2 linked regions of the Elephas maximus indicus genome follow. The protein of the gene in region 1 interacts with the protein of each later gene in a biochemical or structural test. Links are inferred from orthologs where the notes say so. Each region holds a gene or a part of one and is shown in the gene's direction. Other genes may lie near its edges. The genes, in order: GABBR2 and KCTD12.

Evidence for each region.
Region 2: the proteins of GABBR2 (region 1) and KCTD12 form a complex in vitro, tested with the Homo sapiens proteins (2 studies listed by BioGRID). The link is inferred for Elephas maximus indicus from reciprocal best matches to the Homo sapiens genes GABBR2 and KCTD12.

Annotation. Positions count from the first base shown.
Region 1 is NC_064827.1:48,601,500-48,609,552, reverse strand, and holds the start of GABBR2 (gamma-aminobutyric acid type B receptor subunit 2), read left to right. Parts: upstream 1-4,552; 5' UTR 4,553-4,604; coding exon 4,605-4,925; intron 4,926-8,053. UniProt on the Homo sapiens protein: Component of a heterodimeric G-protein coupled receptor for GABA, formed by GABBR1 and GABBR2. Within the heterodimeric GABA receptor, only GABBR1 seems to bind agonists, while GABBR2 mediates coupling to G proteins.
Region 2 is NC_064832.1:70,016,564-70,024,755, reverse strand, and holds KCTD12 (BTB/POZ domain-containing protein KCTD12), read left to right. Parts: upstream 1-5,009; 5' UTR 5,010-5,253; coding exon 5,254-6,231; 3' UTR 6,232-7,202; downstream 7,203-8,192. UniProt on the Homo sapiens protein: Auxiliary subunit of GABA-B receptors that determine the pharmacology and kinetics of the receptor response. Increases agonist potency and markedly alter the G-protein signaling of the receptors by accelerating onset and promoting desensitization.

The DNA of each region.
Region 1 (8,053 bases):
CTCCTAACTGGTCTCCTGCTCCTGCCCTTTCCTCCTACCAACGGTTCTCCACCCAGTGATCCTGTTAAAAAATATCAGATCGTGTCGTGGCTCTGCTCGTAACCCTCCAATCATTCCCCATTTTGTGGCATACAATCCAAAGACCTCCCAGTGCTGAGGCCCTATATGATTGGGTCCGCCTTTGACCTGGGGTCCTACTACTTTTCCCCTGAACAACTCAAACATAACACAATCATGAAGATGGCGCAGGACCAGGCAACATTTCTTTCTGTTACACACGAGGTCGCCATGAGTTGGAGCCAACTAGACAGCAACTACCAGCCACAGTTCTTCCCCTTGCTCACTCTGCTTCAGCCACACCAGCTTCCTGATGGTTCCTTGAACACACCAGGCACACTCCGGTCTCTGCCCTTGCTGTTCCTCTGCAGGGGACACTGCATGTCTAGCGTACTGACTTCCGTTAGGGTTTTGTTCAAAAGCCACCTCAGTGTGTCCTTCCCTGACCTCCCTATTGCAAAACGCAGCCCCACCCTGCCAGCCTCTAAATTCTTCCCTGGTTTATTGTTCACCCAGCACTTTTCCTAAACTGACAAACTAAAAATTTTACTTATTATTCTTTTTATTTATTGTTTCTCTTCTCCCACTGGAATGTCAGTTCTACCAGGGCAAGGATGTGGGTCTGGTTTGTTCACTCCTGTGCCCCAACTCTGAGAACAGTGCTCAGCATGTAGGAGGCCCTTGAAAACATCAGTTGGAGGAATGATTATTAGAAGGCATGAAGCTGGACTCAAGCTCTAGAGGAGCATGGATTCTAGGCCGATGACAGAGGCAAGAACTCACACCTAGGGAGCACACCAGGAACTCAGTTACCAACACTGGAATGCAAGGTAGGATCCTGGAACCAGAGGGATGCCTGGGCACCAGAAGTGGGGTGTGAGATCAGAGGTTGGCCTGGAGACAGATGGATGGAGATGAGGCATGCTTCAGGTCAGGGCTGGTCCAGGCCACATGGCTCGGGGCCGGGACAACCCATGATGGGACAGAGGGGCTGAAGCTATCAGGCAGAGCCCTCGGCCTCTTTGTAAATGTTAGGCAAAGTTATCCCAACTTTCAATTCATTCCCAGACGTAGGCATCAGTGGATACTCCATATTGGCACAGCCTATAAGGAAAACACAAATGATTAAGGGAAAAAAAGAAGAAGAAAAAAAAAAAGTGAAAATGCTCACTCAGTAACCTGAGCCGAGGAGTTAAGGAATGGCACGTGGCAGGAGCATATGACTAGGGGATAGCTGTGATGGCAAGTGAGACACCAGGTGAGCGTCTGGGGATTACACTGTCCTTTGGATGGTTTTTTTGGCAGAAATGCTTAGGTGAGTTCTGCTCAAGCAATCCCTCCAGCTTGGGGGCTAGGAAGTGCTAAGTGCAGCCTGCGAGGTGGTATCTGCAGAAACCCAAAGAGTGGAGCTGGGAGAATTTGGCCTGGTTTCCCAGGCACTGTCCAAGGTACTCTCCAGGAGTTGGGCTCAGCCTCTGCTGCTTTTACACTTTCTGATAACTCAGCCTGCGATTCAGGGCTGCCCCTGTCCCACCCCAGGTCTGCCTTGGGTTCTCCCCAGGGGCGAGCCACATGACAGGAAGGTTACAGCAGAGATTCTGTGTTGGGGGGATGGGGAAATAGCCTGCTCAGGTCCTTGAGAAGGGATGCATGCATACCTAGGCTGCAAGCCTGGCTTCCCCACTTGACCTATGTGTCCTTGGGCAATCACATAGCTTCCCTGAGTCTCAATATTCTCATCTGTAAAGTGGGCATAATATTACCTTCTGCATAGGAATGATGTCAAGATTAAGTGAAATTAGGTGAGTAAATGTGTGTATAGCATCTGGCACAATGTCTGGCTTTCAGTGGACCCTAAAAAAAAAAAAAAAAGACTAGCCGTTGTTATTATTTTTTAAAATCAGTAATTACAGTCACTAAAACATTTAACAGTAACAATTCCACAAAGGAGCTCAAAATAGGTTTACAGATAAAGAATGGCAATTCCCCTTGTCTCTGATTAATAAACATTTATAATTACAAAAATATATATTACATAATAATAATTTAGAATTACTTCCTACTTCCCAAAATGGGGGTGCTAAAACAGATATGTGCTCAAAACCCCACTGCAAGTTACCAGGGGAAGTAGGGAGACACATGGGCAGCTCCTCCTGTCTTCCTGAAAGTGAAGCCTCCTCCTTCAGTAATCTACTAAAGCAATGAAGGTAAAGACCTGATTAAATGTGCTCATTAACACTCCAGTGAGCCATGGCGGTGCAATGGTTAAGCGCATAGCTGGTAACCAAAAGGTTGGCTGTTCGAACTCACCCAGCAGCTCTGAGGGGGAAAGACCTGGTGATCTGCTCATGTAAAGACTACAGCCTAGAAAACCCTATGCGGCAGTTGTACTCTGTCACTATGAGTTGGCAGCTAACAACAACACTTCAGTAAAGAAAAGAATAAATGAATGTTATTTGGAAATGCTTGAGTAGTACTGGTAGGACTCATACCATCTTTGTTTTTATTATACACCAAAGGTGTGTTTGGAGGTGCTGTGTCCTTGAGTAAGTGAGGGCTGTTCTAGAATCAGAATCAGAATTGCCGTTCCTCCCATTTTATGGATGGGAAAGTTGAGGCCCAAAGTAGCCAAGCTTGGATTTGAGCTCATGTTATCTGCCTCAAGTGAGAAGTTCTTTCTACTGTATGTAGGTTGCCTCTTGGGCGCCTATGCTCAAAAGATTTCCCCAAAGAGAAGGAACTGCCCTTATGAGTAAGTATGATCCTCACCCCATCCATACCTTCTCTCTCCAAAACTGGCTTCGTCAGGACTGCAAAAGAGCAGAGGTGAGTGAGTCTGTGGACACCATCTGGTCCAACTCCCTCACCACATATCAGAGGGAATGAAGGTGCAGAGCAATGGAGAGTCAAGGCAGTGCCCCTCATCAGGGGAAACTCCATGCACCCCATTGGGGCTCACACTGCACTCTGTATGGTGCAGCTGCTGGCTCTGGGTCCAGTCCTCCCTCAGTAGCTCTGTGTACTTTGGCAAGTTAAGACACCTCTCTGAGCTTCACTTTATTCGCCTGTAAACTAAGGGTGATAAACACAGTGCTTACTTCACAGGGTGGCTGTGAGGACTACATTAGGAGGCCAGTAAAGCACTAAAACCAGTGTTGGCATACAGTAAGTGCTCAGTGAAGGTTAAATTCCTACCATTACAAGGTCACGGATATGGCCCACAATGCTTGCCTCAGGCTCCAGGATGTTTTCTGATTTAATGTCCTCGTGTGTCCCCCTCAATAATCATCCCTTGGGATTTTATATTTTAATGACCACGACTGCCATTCTCCAAGTACTGAAAGGCACAAAGACACACATCTGGTCAGGATTGCTCTGACTACAGTTAGCCAGGGCATTCAGTGTGACCTGGCAGAAAGAGTGCCAAGGCCGGGGGCTCTCGGACCCCGCTCTAGCCTGAGGACAATGCTTCCACCCGAGGGAGAATTCTAGGGCGGGGTTCTGTGAGAGTGGGTACCAGGGAAGGTCATATGCCTGGAGGGGGCGGTAGCGCACACAGGTGCGGACCTCCGCCTCGCCCGGGTTGGCAGAGAGAGGCTGCTCTGTCCAGTGGGGGTCCCAGCCAGGCCCCAAAGGCCCGCCAGCCTAGCGCTGTGCGGCGTTCGAACGCTGGCGGCGGTCTTCGGCGGCCGTTCATATGAGCTCAGTCCGGGCGCCCGTGCAGGGAAGGAGAGCGTAGGTTGCAGGTATTTCTAGGACGCCTCCGTGGCGTACTCTCCAGCCCAGACCTTTCCGGCTAGACCTCTGAGAACCAGCCCCAAACCACCTTGCAGGTGCCACAGGAAGAGCTCGGTGAAGCGGTGGCAGCCACTGCGTGTGCCACAGCGCGGTTCTCGTCCCGGCTCTCCGTCCCCGGGCACTCAGGTTCCTGGCGGTCGGTGGGCAGCGGCAGCCAGCGCAGCTGAGGGCCGGGGCGCTAGTGTGCGTGTGCGGGGAAGGCGGCCCTCCCCGCGGTCGCCGCAGAGCCAGCGCCGGCGCCTCCCCCTCCCCTGGCGCGCACGGCCCATCCCTGTCCCCCGAGGCGGCCCGAGCCGCCGCTGAGCAGCCGCGCCTTCGCCTCCCGCGTTTCCTGCCGCTCGCCCTCCCCCGGCCGGGCTCCAGGGGCGGCCGCCGAGCAGCTCCGGGCGGGAGAGCAGCGCAGAGCGCGCACGGGGGCGGGCGGAGGCGGCCCGGTGCGGGGCGGCCGCGCCGGAGAGAGGCGCGCGGAGACGCCGGCCCCCCTTTCCGCGTTTGCTCGTTCGCTCCCCGCCTCCCGCACTCCGCTCGCTCCCACCCCTTCCCGGCGTGATTGATCCGTCACCGGCGCTGCTGCCGCCGCCGCCGCCGCCGCTGCCGCGGCCGTTCTGAGCCGAGCGGGAGCCCGAGCCAGAGCCCGGGCCGGGCCGGCGCCATTGCGCGGGCGCCGCGGGGAGAGCTTGGCGCGGGGCGGCGGGCCAGGGCAGGCCATGCGGGCCGAGTGAGCTGGCGTCCGCAGCCCGCGGCGCGGCATGGCTTCTCCGAGGAGCTCCGGGCAGCCCGGGCCGCCGCCGTCGCCGCCACCGCCGCCCGCACGCCTCCTGCTGCTCCTGCTGTTGCCCTTGCTGCTGCCTCTGGCACCTGGGGCCTGGGGCTGGGCGCGGGGCGCCCCCCGGCCGCCGCCCAGCAGCCCGCCGCTCTCCATCATGGGCCTCATGCCGCTCACCAAGGAGGTGGCCAAGGGCAGCATCGGGCGCGGCGTGCTCCCTGCCGTGGAACTGGCCATCGAGCAGATCCGCAATGAGTCGCTCCTGCGCCCCTACTTTCTCGACCTGCGTCTCTACGACACGGAGGTGAGTGTCCGGCCGTCCGCGCCGTCGGGGATCCGGAGGACAGTGGAATGGGGTGTGGGGTGGGGACAGAGTCAGGCGCCCGGCCCTTGACCAAAGCCCGGATTGACCCGCGGCTGCTGAGGACACGACGGGCTGGTGCTCAGTGCTCGTCCCGCCGGGGTCCTCCTGGGCCAGGTACCCCTTGGCACAGCTGGTACCAAAGCTTGCCCAATATTCTCCTCAGGGATCGTGTGTGTATGTGTGTGGGGTTGTTGAATAGAAGACTAGAGTCTCCTTTACCGCAGAAGAAGGAGTGGAGTAGGCTGGGGCTGGACCCCCAAAGGCCTGCATTGGTTGCCCCTGCCCAAGTTCCATTCGCTCGTGGGGCTTTGGGGTGGCGGGTGGGAAGAATAGGTGGGTGCACTGACTGCAAACTGGGCCACCCCGGGCTGGAGGGGCCGCGAGCTTGCCCGCGGGCGATTGTGAGAGCCGAGCTGCGCTAAGAGGTCTGGAGAGCTCCCGCACTCCAGGGGCCCGAGCGCGCAGCAGGGCTGGGAGCGTGGTGCGCGCCAGCAGCTCGGAGCCCTTACAGCGCCGGCAGGTGAGGGGCCGCCGGCTCTGCAGTGCTACCCCCTGGATGTGCCCGGCTGCCTGTAGGCCGAGCGGTTTTATGAAGAGACGCCCCCTTGGGTTAGTTGGTCAGGGAGTGTCCCAAGCAGGTCTCGCCCGGAGGCGCGAGGTGTCCCGCCGCGCCGCTGCTGTTGGTCCGGCGGCTGAAGGCGCAGTTTCTCCGGGCGCAGACTTGTGCAGCGTCCTACTAGCTAGAGCACGGACTTGGAGCGCAGCAGTGGCTTCCTCTCCCGGCCTCCTTTTCTAAGCCGAGCTGGAGAGCCGAGAACTTCCCATCCCAAGCCCTCTCCTTACGCCCTTGGCTTGGGTTCCGCCGCAGCCCCAGCGCGGACCTTTACCGCTAGCCAGGGGAATGGGATGCGCTGAGGGGGCTGTGAGGAGCGGTCGCCGGCCGCGCGAGGTCGGGTTTGCGAGTTTTTCCGGACAGGGGGAGCCCCTATGCTTCCAGTACGGGGTCTGAGACGCGGCCTGAAGGGGGCAGTGATTTCCTGTGCAGTACGTTTGGTTGGCGCCTCTTCCACCGCGCCAAGCCGGGCCAAGGCGCTGGGCTTGACCCCAGCTTCCCAGGGCTCTCCGGGCATTAATGCTCAAGCTAAGGGGCAGACCCTTTTGAGGAGGAGGGTCGTGTTACCGCGCTGATCGCGCAGCCCTCCTCTTTTTATGTCTCCGGAGAAAGAGCAGAAATCTGAATTGCATCTTATTCCCCCTCCTCCCCCCTCCACTGATGAACCAGCCTGCTCTGCGCTGTAAATAAAAGGTGAAGGAATGGGTGGCATTTGGTGGCGGGCGTGCAGGCTGCTGCAGGCAGAGAGGTGTCCTCTGCCCTGGGAGAATGCAGGCTGGGTGCTGTGCAGGGCATACCCGGGTGTGGAATCATTTGAGTGACATGCATATTGTCCTCATCTCTACACAACGTTTCATGTTCTCTGGTGTGCTTGTCCTGCAGACGTAAGTGGAGTGAGCAGTGCAGACACAGGGAGGCATGTCTTCTGGGTACTGTTTCTCTGTTGCTTCCACTTGTATTCTTCTGAAAGGGACACTGAAGAGCCAGTTCTTGGGAGACAAAAACATGTAGACGGGGCAGCCCCGCTGGCATCATCACCACATACTGTCAACTGCATACTGTTTTCATCATCAGTTTATTGGGTGTTAGAAAGCTTCCCTGAAAGAGATTTCATATTATGCATCCTGTTTGTGTTAGCAAGGAGATGTATGGTTGGTTTCAGGGTGTGGGTGGAACCTTTTACGTTTTATTTTTCAAGTGTGTCTGGATGACTTTCTGAGTGAGAGGGCCTCAAATCAAGAGGATGAGGCACTCAGAAGGCGCTTCATTCCATCGGGATATGTAAGAAACAGTAGGAAGGAGTGCAGAGGATAATCTCAGCTCCGTGCAAACAGAAAAACGCCTCTAGTCTTCTGAAGGCCAGGAAGGGTCACAGAGCTTGGGCTTTGGCATAGGTGGTACCTGGGTTCTAGTCAGGAACTGGCTACTTTCCCAGTGGGCGACACTGGGCTAGGTGTTTAATCTCCCTAAGCCTATATTTCCGCAGCTGAAAAAATGGGACTATTATATGTACTCTGCCGAGTAGCAACGGGAGGCTTAAGGGAGATAACGGGGGAGAATGGAGAATGGGTTGTGTTGCCAAGCTCAGCAGCCGGTGCCCTGTCTGGCATGCAGTAAGCACTAAATAAATGTGTCCTGCCTCCCTTCCTTCATTTTCTTCTGGCATGGATTCACAAGTAAGACATTGTAGTTTAAGATGTGATAAAATGGTCAAGCCAAAACACGAGGACTATTTATTTGTTTTTCCAGCCTTTGAAATCTTACGAAGTCAGTGAAGTTATCAGAAAAAAAGTGAATTCTTTTACAATTAAGTATGTTGTCTTCTGTCAGGAGGTGTCACATTTAGGAGAATGTCCAGGTGATATAATTATTTAATTTTTTCCCAAGTGGCTTCGCCTTTACGGGAGAGACGCACTCTCTGAGCCGGAAGGAGAGAAGGAGCAGCCTGGGATATTTGCAGCAAGATCCACAGCAATCCAAGGAGTGCTGGGGGCCTGTTTTTTGTTTGTTTTTCAGATCAGGTATCTTTGTGGATGGTGTGTACCACCTAACGACTTGCTGGCTGTGTCACTTGTCCATAGACTTGAACACAGGATGGATGTGGTGAGCAGGTTTTGGCTGGCTTTGCTGACATTTGCTGCCAGTCAATGACCAGTGACTGTTGACAGCCAGAATGGACCTTTGTCCACACAGCCTGCAAGGAGATGGTGATTTAGCAAGGAATGAATTAATCTTTTCACTGGGGACACTCTGCCTCAATAAAGGAGCTTCCTCCATGCATTCATTTATCCAGGTCAATCCTCTACTGTAATTAGAATAGCTCTAGAACTTTCAAAGGCTCACTTAGTACCATGTGCTTGTAAAAATGAAAACACCCCAACAGAACACCTGCCAATCAGAATCTCTGCTTCTTTGGTGTACCTTTAAATTACTTCAGCAAAAACTTGTTTGTGTA
Region 2 (8,192 bases), on another chromosome or scaffold:
TTCCAGGAAACCACTGTCTCCTATTTAGGAAGGTACAAAGAGCTACCTGAAAAAGAACAATGGTTCTTCATGCGTCCATCACTGGAAACCGGGTTGAGGCCGGATACAGAGATAGAGGTTTCCCAAATTCTCAGACACCCCCTCCAATGAAGCATATTTGACATATTGGATACGCTAAAGAATTATAACCCCCTCCACCAGGAATACCCAGACCCTCAAGTCCTGGCATCTAAGTGCCCTAAATATTTCTTCTTGAATTTCTTGACACTAATGTATATACAAGAAACAGAACACAGAAAATAAATCAGTAAGTCAGAAGATTACTTCTTCATAATCCATAATTGAACTGCCGCTTTCATTCACTATTATGTCTTTCAGGCACAACTTGGGCTCTCATAAAAAAAATACCGATAGGCTTTCCTGCAGCAGACTAGCTCGTGTGGATGAATATGTTACCTCGACAGGTAGAGGATGTCAGGAGTTCGCTGCTAGTACAATGCTTGTGTATAAGCACGCCGTGTCTGTCACACTTGACTTGTCATGATCTCTTCAAGGGTACTTTGGGGATTCACAGGATACAAGCAGGTGAATACAATAAACTTCTACTGTGAAACACACTAAACTCATTCTTAACCCAGGCCCCCTTAACTTTCTTTGCCCTACCTGGTAGGCTCTTCCTCCAGAGCTTCTCACAGCTGTCTCTTTTTCATCACTCAGCTCAAACATCACTTTTATGGAGAGGCCTCTCCCAGCTACTCCATATCCAGTAGAATCCGCACGCTCAGTCCCTCTACACCTTTTAAGGATTTTATTTTCTTTGCAGCATTTATCATCACTTAAAAGCGACTGCTTATCTATACGTTTACTATCTATCTTCCTCACAAGACTAGAAACTCCAAGAGGTCAGAGATCCTTTTGTTAACATATTGCCTGGAATTCAGGAAAAACCTGTTGCTGTCAAGTCAATTCTGACCCACAGAGACTCTACAGAACAGAGCAGAACTGCCCCACAGGGTTTCCAAGGAGTGGCTAGTGGATTCGAATTGCTGACCCTTTGGCTAGCAACCATACTCTTAACCACTGCATGTGGGCCCTTAAGACATACTGGAGGAACCAAAAAAAAAAAAAGAAAGAAAAACCCAAAACCAAGCCCATTGACATCAAGTGGGGAAAATAATAGAACCTACCTCATATAAATATTAAAAGCCTTCATATATGTCAAGCACTTATATAGGTGAGATTCTGACTCATGGTGATCTCATATGTTACAGAGTAGAACTGCTCTGTAGGGTTTCCTTGTCTGTAATCTTTATGAAAGCAAATCACCAAGCCTTTCTTCCACAGTGCAGCTGGGTGGGTTTGAACCACCAACCTTTAGGTTAGTAGTTGAGCACAAACCATTTGGGACCTACTGGCAGAATAAAACCCAAAACCCGAACCCACTGCCATTGAGGTAATTCAGACTCATAGCAACCCTACAGGTTTCCAAGGCTGTAAATCTCTATGGAAGCAGCTACATCTTTCTTCCACAGAGCCTTTGGTGGTTTCGAACCTCCGACCTTTTGGTCAGCAGCTAATCGCTTTAACCACAGCACCACCAGGGCTCCCTATTAGTAGAACAGCAGATATTAATTGAACACCTATTATATGACAGCTCTCTTCTAGGCACTGGGGATACAGCAGGGAATTAAGCTGGCAAAAATCTCTGAACTCTTGGAATTTATATCCTAATGCACAGAAATAGACAGTAAATGAGCAAGTAAAATCTCCAGTATGGAAGCAGGAAAGGGGAGAAAGCTGCCTGGGTGGGGTTACACTATATTAAACAGGGTGACCCAAGCAAGGTCTCACAGTAGAGACCTGAAGAAGGGGAGAAGAGAGGCACCTGAACAAGGTGAGGGAGGTATCAGGGGATGAGTGTTTTAGGCAAAGGGAACAGTAAGTTCAAAGGCTCCTAGAGAACAGTTGTTGTTAGTTGACATTGAGTCAATTCTGATTCATGGTGACCCCATGTGTGCAGAGTAGAACTGCTCCATAAGGTTTTCAAGGCTGTGACCTTTCGGAACTAGATTGCTGGGCCTGTCTTCCAAGGCACATCTGAGTGGGTTCGAACTGCCAGGCTTTCAGCTAGTACTACAGCACTTAACCATTCGCATCACCCAGGGATTCCTCTGGAGGACAGTAAGGGGGCTAATGTAGCTAAAACCAGTGAAATCCTGGGGAAATGGTAGGGGATGGGTCGGAGAGGTGGTCATGGGGCAGCTCTGATCATGTACAGTCTTGTAGGCCACTGAAAAGACTCTGATTTTCAAACACTTGCATGAGATGGGAAGCCACTGGGGCGGGGGTTCCAGAAGAGTGACATCATCTGAGTTAGGCTGTAATGGCATCCCCCTTTTTTGTTCTGGTGAAACTAGACTGTAGCAGCAAAGGCAGAGCCAGATAGGAGACCAGTGTAATAATTCAGGCAAGAGATGATGTTGTCTTGGTCCACGGTGGAACCTACTGGGACTGTTCAGACCTATTAGTAGAACAGTAGGGAGTTAGAGAGATAGGCTAAGAGTCTGGAAGTGTTTTTAAGGCACAGCTGACAGGATTTGCTGAGACAATGAAAAAAAGCAATAATACAAAAATATGTGCAGAATTGATACAAAGAAGGCTCTTCTTGGATTTATAGAAAAGAGGCTGTATTTGTCAGGCCTGTGACACTGGTAGAAAAAAGAGAAGCACAGCCACCTAGAAATTCAGCATGGGAACTTGAAACTTTTGTGTCATCTTTTATCCCAAAGAACAAAACAAAAAAGTGTGGTGAAATATATTTGGTATCAAAACCCATACTTGCAATTAAACGAGCTGATTGGGGGCTTGATTTAATTTCAGTACACTCACTGACATGACTGCAATAATTGTACAGCAGACATAAACAATTCCAAGTGAAAATGACACTTATCCGTGAGGAGACTGTAAAACTCACTGGGTAGTTGCAAAATAGGGTAAACGTTATCAAGAACAAATATCTCAACAGTTTTATCCGGACTGACAGTCTACTGATCTGAAAACTGCTCAGACCTCTGCCCCTTTGCCTACTGGGCACATTGAAAGTGTCTTGGGGCTTATTCAACCTTGCATTCTTCACTACCTGGTGCCACGCCTGGCCAATATGCCAGGTGCACAACAAATTTTCATGGACCAGATGACTTCTTAACATCTTCCACTACCCTCTCCTTTGCTTCTGTCTGCAGTTCTCCGGAACACTGATTTTTACCAAAGTCAGCAGATAATCGCTCTTTAGTTATCTAGTGCTGCGGTAACACCAGTGCATGGCTTTGATGAATAGGAATTTATCTTCTCACAGTTCAGGAAGCTCAAAGTCCAATTTCAGGCCGCTGGCTCTCAAGGAAGGCTCTCACACTGTCTGCTCTGAGGGAAGGTCCTCGTCTCTTTTCAGTTTCTATTCCTAGGTTCCTTGGCAATCGCACGTGCTTCTTTGCTTGCTTAACTTGCATTTTATATCAGGAGAGATTGATTTAAGATACACACTACACTAATACTGCCTCATTAACATAACAAACATTCCCAAAGGGAAAAACCCCTGGTATTAAAAAAAAAACAGCCCCAAACCGCATTGCCCGTGGAGTTGATTCTGACTTATAAGGATCCTATAGGACAGAGCAGAACTGCCCCATAGGGTTTCCCAGGTGTGGCTGATGGATTTGAAGTGCCGACCAGGGTTTCAACCACAGGTATAGGGGATTGGATTTATTTACAGCACCCATTTCTCGGAGGGGGGGGGCATAGCTCAATCTACAACAACTGCTAATTACGACAGTTCAGAATGATGAGCTCTAGGTAATGCGGAAGACCCACTCGCCTGGGAAGCCATGGACGGTTTTTCTTTCGGGAGGGGGGGAGGGAAAGAGGAGTTCTGTGGGCTAAAGGGTGAAACTGAATATGGAGTAGGAGTTAGAGGATGAGATGGGATCAAAGCAGAGGGCCTGCAAATGTCAAAAGCCCTGTGAGGAGGGAACCTGGACCTAACTGGAAAAAAAAAATGACTGAAGAGCGCTGGAGGTCGGAGAAACTTGGACGTTCCTGCGAGAGGATAAACACGTCGAAAAAGATCTAGGGGCTTGATTGAAAAAGCTCTAAGGCATGATTCACTCAGGGCTGAAAAGGACCCCTCGGCCTCACTATCCTCAATCTCTTCAGACTAGCCTCCAAGGCTTTGTGAGGAAGAGGATGCATGAGCCGCCCTCAGGGGAACGCGTCCCTAAAGTTCATCCAAGTTCCCCCTGTTGCTATTTCAGTTCTTTTCCTACTCCCCTTTGAGGTTTCCCAACCAGTGAGTTTCTTCTGCACCCGGAAAATGAACTATCCACGAGCGTTCTGCGGCAAGATACCGAGGTTAGCTTTTGGTTTCTAGAGTTTTTCTTCCGAGTCTCCTCAGTAACGCGAACAAAACCTGGCTGCCTCCGTCCTGGCGCGGCCCCGTAGTCTCTCCGGGGCTTTTATTCTCGAGAACTTGCAGCGACACGACGACCCACTACGCTACCAACACGACTCCACTATTTTTAAGCGGCCAGTTCCGCAGGCGGCCTCGCCGGACGCGGCCACGCACTTCCACTCCCCTGGGCCAAGCCCGAAAGTTTACATCCTCTTTTCAGAGTCTACGCGGGCAGTGGGCGCGGGCTAGGGGGACAGGGGGCGCAATGACGGCCCCGCCGGCAAAAGATTTGCCTTCCAAAGCGCCCCATCCCAGGTTTTGTCCGCTTCGGATGAGAAAGTTGGATGGGAGCGGGAAGGGGCTGGAACGCGGAGCGGGGCGGCGGGGACCGGCCGGGTCGCCCCCGCGGTGCGCGAACCCGGGTGGAGCCAGCAGCCGGGCGCAGCGTCAGCGCTTAAGATGCAAATCAATTCCCGCCTCCCTCCTCCCCCTCCCCCGCCCGGGGAGCTAGGCTCCGCCGCTCCGCAGCCGCCTACGCCTCCTGCGCGCCGCGGCGCCCTAGCGGAGGCTCTACTTAAGCGGCGCGCCGGCCGCCACCCGCACTCGCCTGGAGCGTGTGGAGCGCACGGGGGCGCACAGCCGCGCGCTCGTATCGCTCGGCTCCACGCGGCTCTCGGCGGCGGCGGCGGCGGCGGCCGAGGCGCAGGGCTGAGCGAGTGTTCGGGCGCCGGGGCTCCGGGAACGGCGGCTCCAGCTCCTGCGCGTGGCCTCACTCCCTTTCTCTGCCCCAGCCCAGCCACCTCTTTGCCATGGCTCTGGCGGACAGCACGCGTGGATTACCCAACGGGGGCGGCGGCGGGGGCGGTAGCGGCTCTTCGTCCTCCTCGGCAGAGCCGGGGCTCTTCCCCGACATCGTGGAGCTGAACGTGGGGGGCCAGGTGTATGTGACCCGGCGCTGTACGGTGGTTTCGGTGCCCGACTCGCTTCTCTGGCGCATGTTCACGCAGCAGCAGCCGCAGGAGCTGGCCCGGGACAGCAAAGGCCGCTTCTTTCTGGACCGGGACGGCTTCCTCTTCCGCTACATCCTGGATTACCTGCGGGACTTGCAGCTCGTCCTGCCCGACTACTTCCCCGAGCGCAGCCGGCTGCAGCGCGAGGCCGAGTACTTCGAGCTGCCGGAGCTCGTGCGCCGCCTCGGGGCGCCCCAGCAACCCGGTCTGGGGCCGCCGCACCCGCGGCGCGGGATGCCTAAGGAGGGCTCGCTGGGCGACGAGCTGCTGCAGCTCGGCTACGCGGAGCCGGAGCAGCAGGAAGGCTCCTCAGCCGGGGCGCCGTCGCCCACGCTGGAGCTGGCTAGCCGCAGCCCGTCCGGGGGCGCAGCGGGCCCGCTGCTCACACCATCCCAGTCGCTGGACGGCAGCCGGCGCTCAGGCTACATCACCATCGGCTACCGCGGCTCGTATACCATCGGGCGGGACGCGCAGGCAGACGCCAAGTTCCGGCGGGTGGCACGCATCACTGTGTGCGGCAAGACCTCGCTGGCCAAGGAGGTGTTCGGGGACACCCTGAACGAGAGCCGGGACCCAGACCGGCCCCCGGAGCGCTACACCTCGCGCTATTATCTCAAATTTAACTTCCTGGAGCAGGCCTTTGATAAGCTGTCGGAGTCGGGCTTCCACATGGTGGCGTGCAGCTCCACGGGCACCTGCGCCTTCGCCAGCAGCACTGACCAGAGCGAAGACAAGATCTGGACCAGCTACACCGAGTACGTCTTCTGCAGGGAGTGAGCTCCCTAGCTCCCCCCCGCCCCGCGACTCCAGCTCTCGTCCCCCCCCCCCTTCCCTGTCTTAGAGATGGTTATAGCACCTCTTCCCTCCCGTCCCTCTGTCGTTCACCCCCAGGAGCTGGGGCCAGTCCCCTCTACCCTCAATTCTAGAACCTGCAGGCGAAAACCCTCTCGGCTTCTTCATTTTCTTTGGACCCCTCCAACCGAGGGAGCCCAGATATACCCCCTTAACCCATGCTTCCTCCATCCCGTACCCCAAACCACCCCTCCCCCAGACTGCCCCTTAATCTGGATGGAGTGGGGCAGCGTGGCCCCAAATCACCAAGTACCTAGGAATGACTGGATCGTTCAAAATCAGGACGTGTCCAGCGTGAAGAGATTCCCTGAAATCTTCTTGAACCTTATGACTCAAGAGATCGGAATTGATAACACTGGGGAAGTTAGTGTTCTAAAAGGTCATTGGAGCCTTTTTTTGATTCTCTTTAAAGGTAGATATTTAGAAGGTTGAGTGAAAAACTGGGATTCTGGAATTAAGACCATATGGAAGCAGTTCAGTGACTGTAAATGAGTGAAGTTTTGAAAAGTTACAGATAAAAGTAGGAGAAGAATCTAGTGCTGGCACGGTGAAGGATCGGATCTTTTCCAGTACAGAATGAAATGAAAGATCTTCGCTTGTGACTTAAACTTGCAGAAAGGGACCCTCCTGCCTGTGGAGGCGCCCTTTCTCGTTGGCTTATCGCCAGGACTTGGGTCGGCTCTGGTTGACATGACAGTTTTTTGGCAAGAGCGAGAAAGAGCTTTGCTGCAGAAGGGGGCAGGTCTGCCCAGGTCGCCATGCCCCACAGAAAGCCACCTGGCAGTGATTAAAACAGAGCTGGGTAGTCATGCACGTTGTGGGTATTAGGAAAGCCCATATTCTTGCAGTGAATGGCAGTAGGATCATTCTTAGCTCATAAGACTTGGGGGTGGGATTGGGAGGGAAGGAGGAGGGTAGGAAGGGTGGGAAGGGAAGAGCAGACATACTCATTTATTATTTGAAATTTGTAAGTTTGTACCATCCGTTTGGGTACATGTGTTTTATTTTAAAACATCAAATAGGACAAAAACATGCAAAGTGTTTTATAAAAATGAATAACAGTATTTACTCTTAGCTGGCAGTTATTGAGGTAACCGTTTTGAATCCTAAGCTTAGAAGTTACAGATACTTATAACCTAACCAAAGAGTTACCCAGTAGTGTTTTAGTATTTGAACTCTGTTTTCTCTGTGAATATAAATCCTGATTGTAAAATCGATTTACTTGAGCAACATACGTTTGATTTTGGTTACTCAGACTTAAGATCTCTTATTAAAAGTCCTTATTTTCCCTAAACTCAGTATGTTTGACGGCTGAGCAAATCTGAAAACCAGAAAATGCTACTTGACACTCCTCTTTCATGCAGTGGTTTGAAGTTAAGGTGGAATCCTTTTGAGTGCCAGAGCTGTAGAGAATTAAGCAACAAGGGCTGCCCATCTGTAGAGAGCTGTAAAGTGAAATATTTTTCAGTGAAGGCAAATTAAGTACTTAAAAGTGAGCTGAGCAATAAAACAGTGTTTTAGGAAAATACAGCAGTAACCGAAGGAGACCTGGTTGCCTTATGCCTTTAATATAGAATAAATTCCCTCTGCATATCCTATCTACATCCTAAGTAAAGGGAAATAAATCCTTGTCTTTCATGCTGTGAGGCGTCCTTTGAATATTCTGTGATAATGAGAAGCCTTTCTATTTTTTTGTTGGTTTGTTTCAGCATCTTTCTCTAACGTATGTTTTTAAAGATTTTGTAAGCTGTGTTCAGTGTTTAAATTAGTGCTATTTTTCCTTCTTTTTACAAATGGATCTTGTACTGTATCTTATTATGTCCATACCAGATGTTACGAATTGGGACAGTTTTATTCTTAGACTCATGTGATCCAATCTGTATATA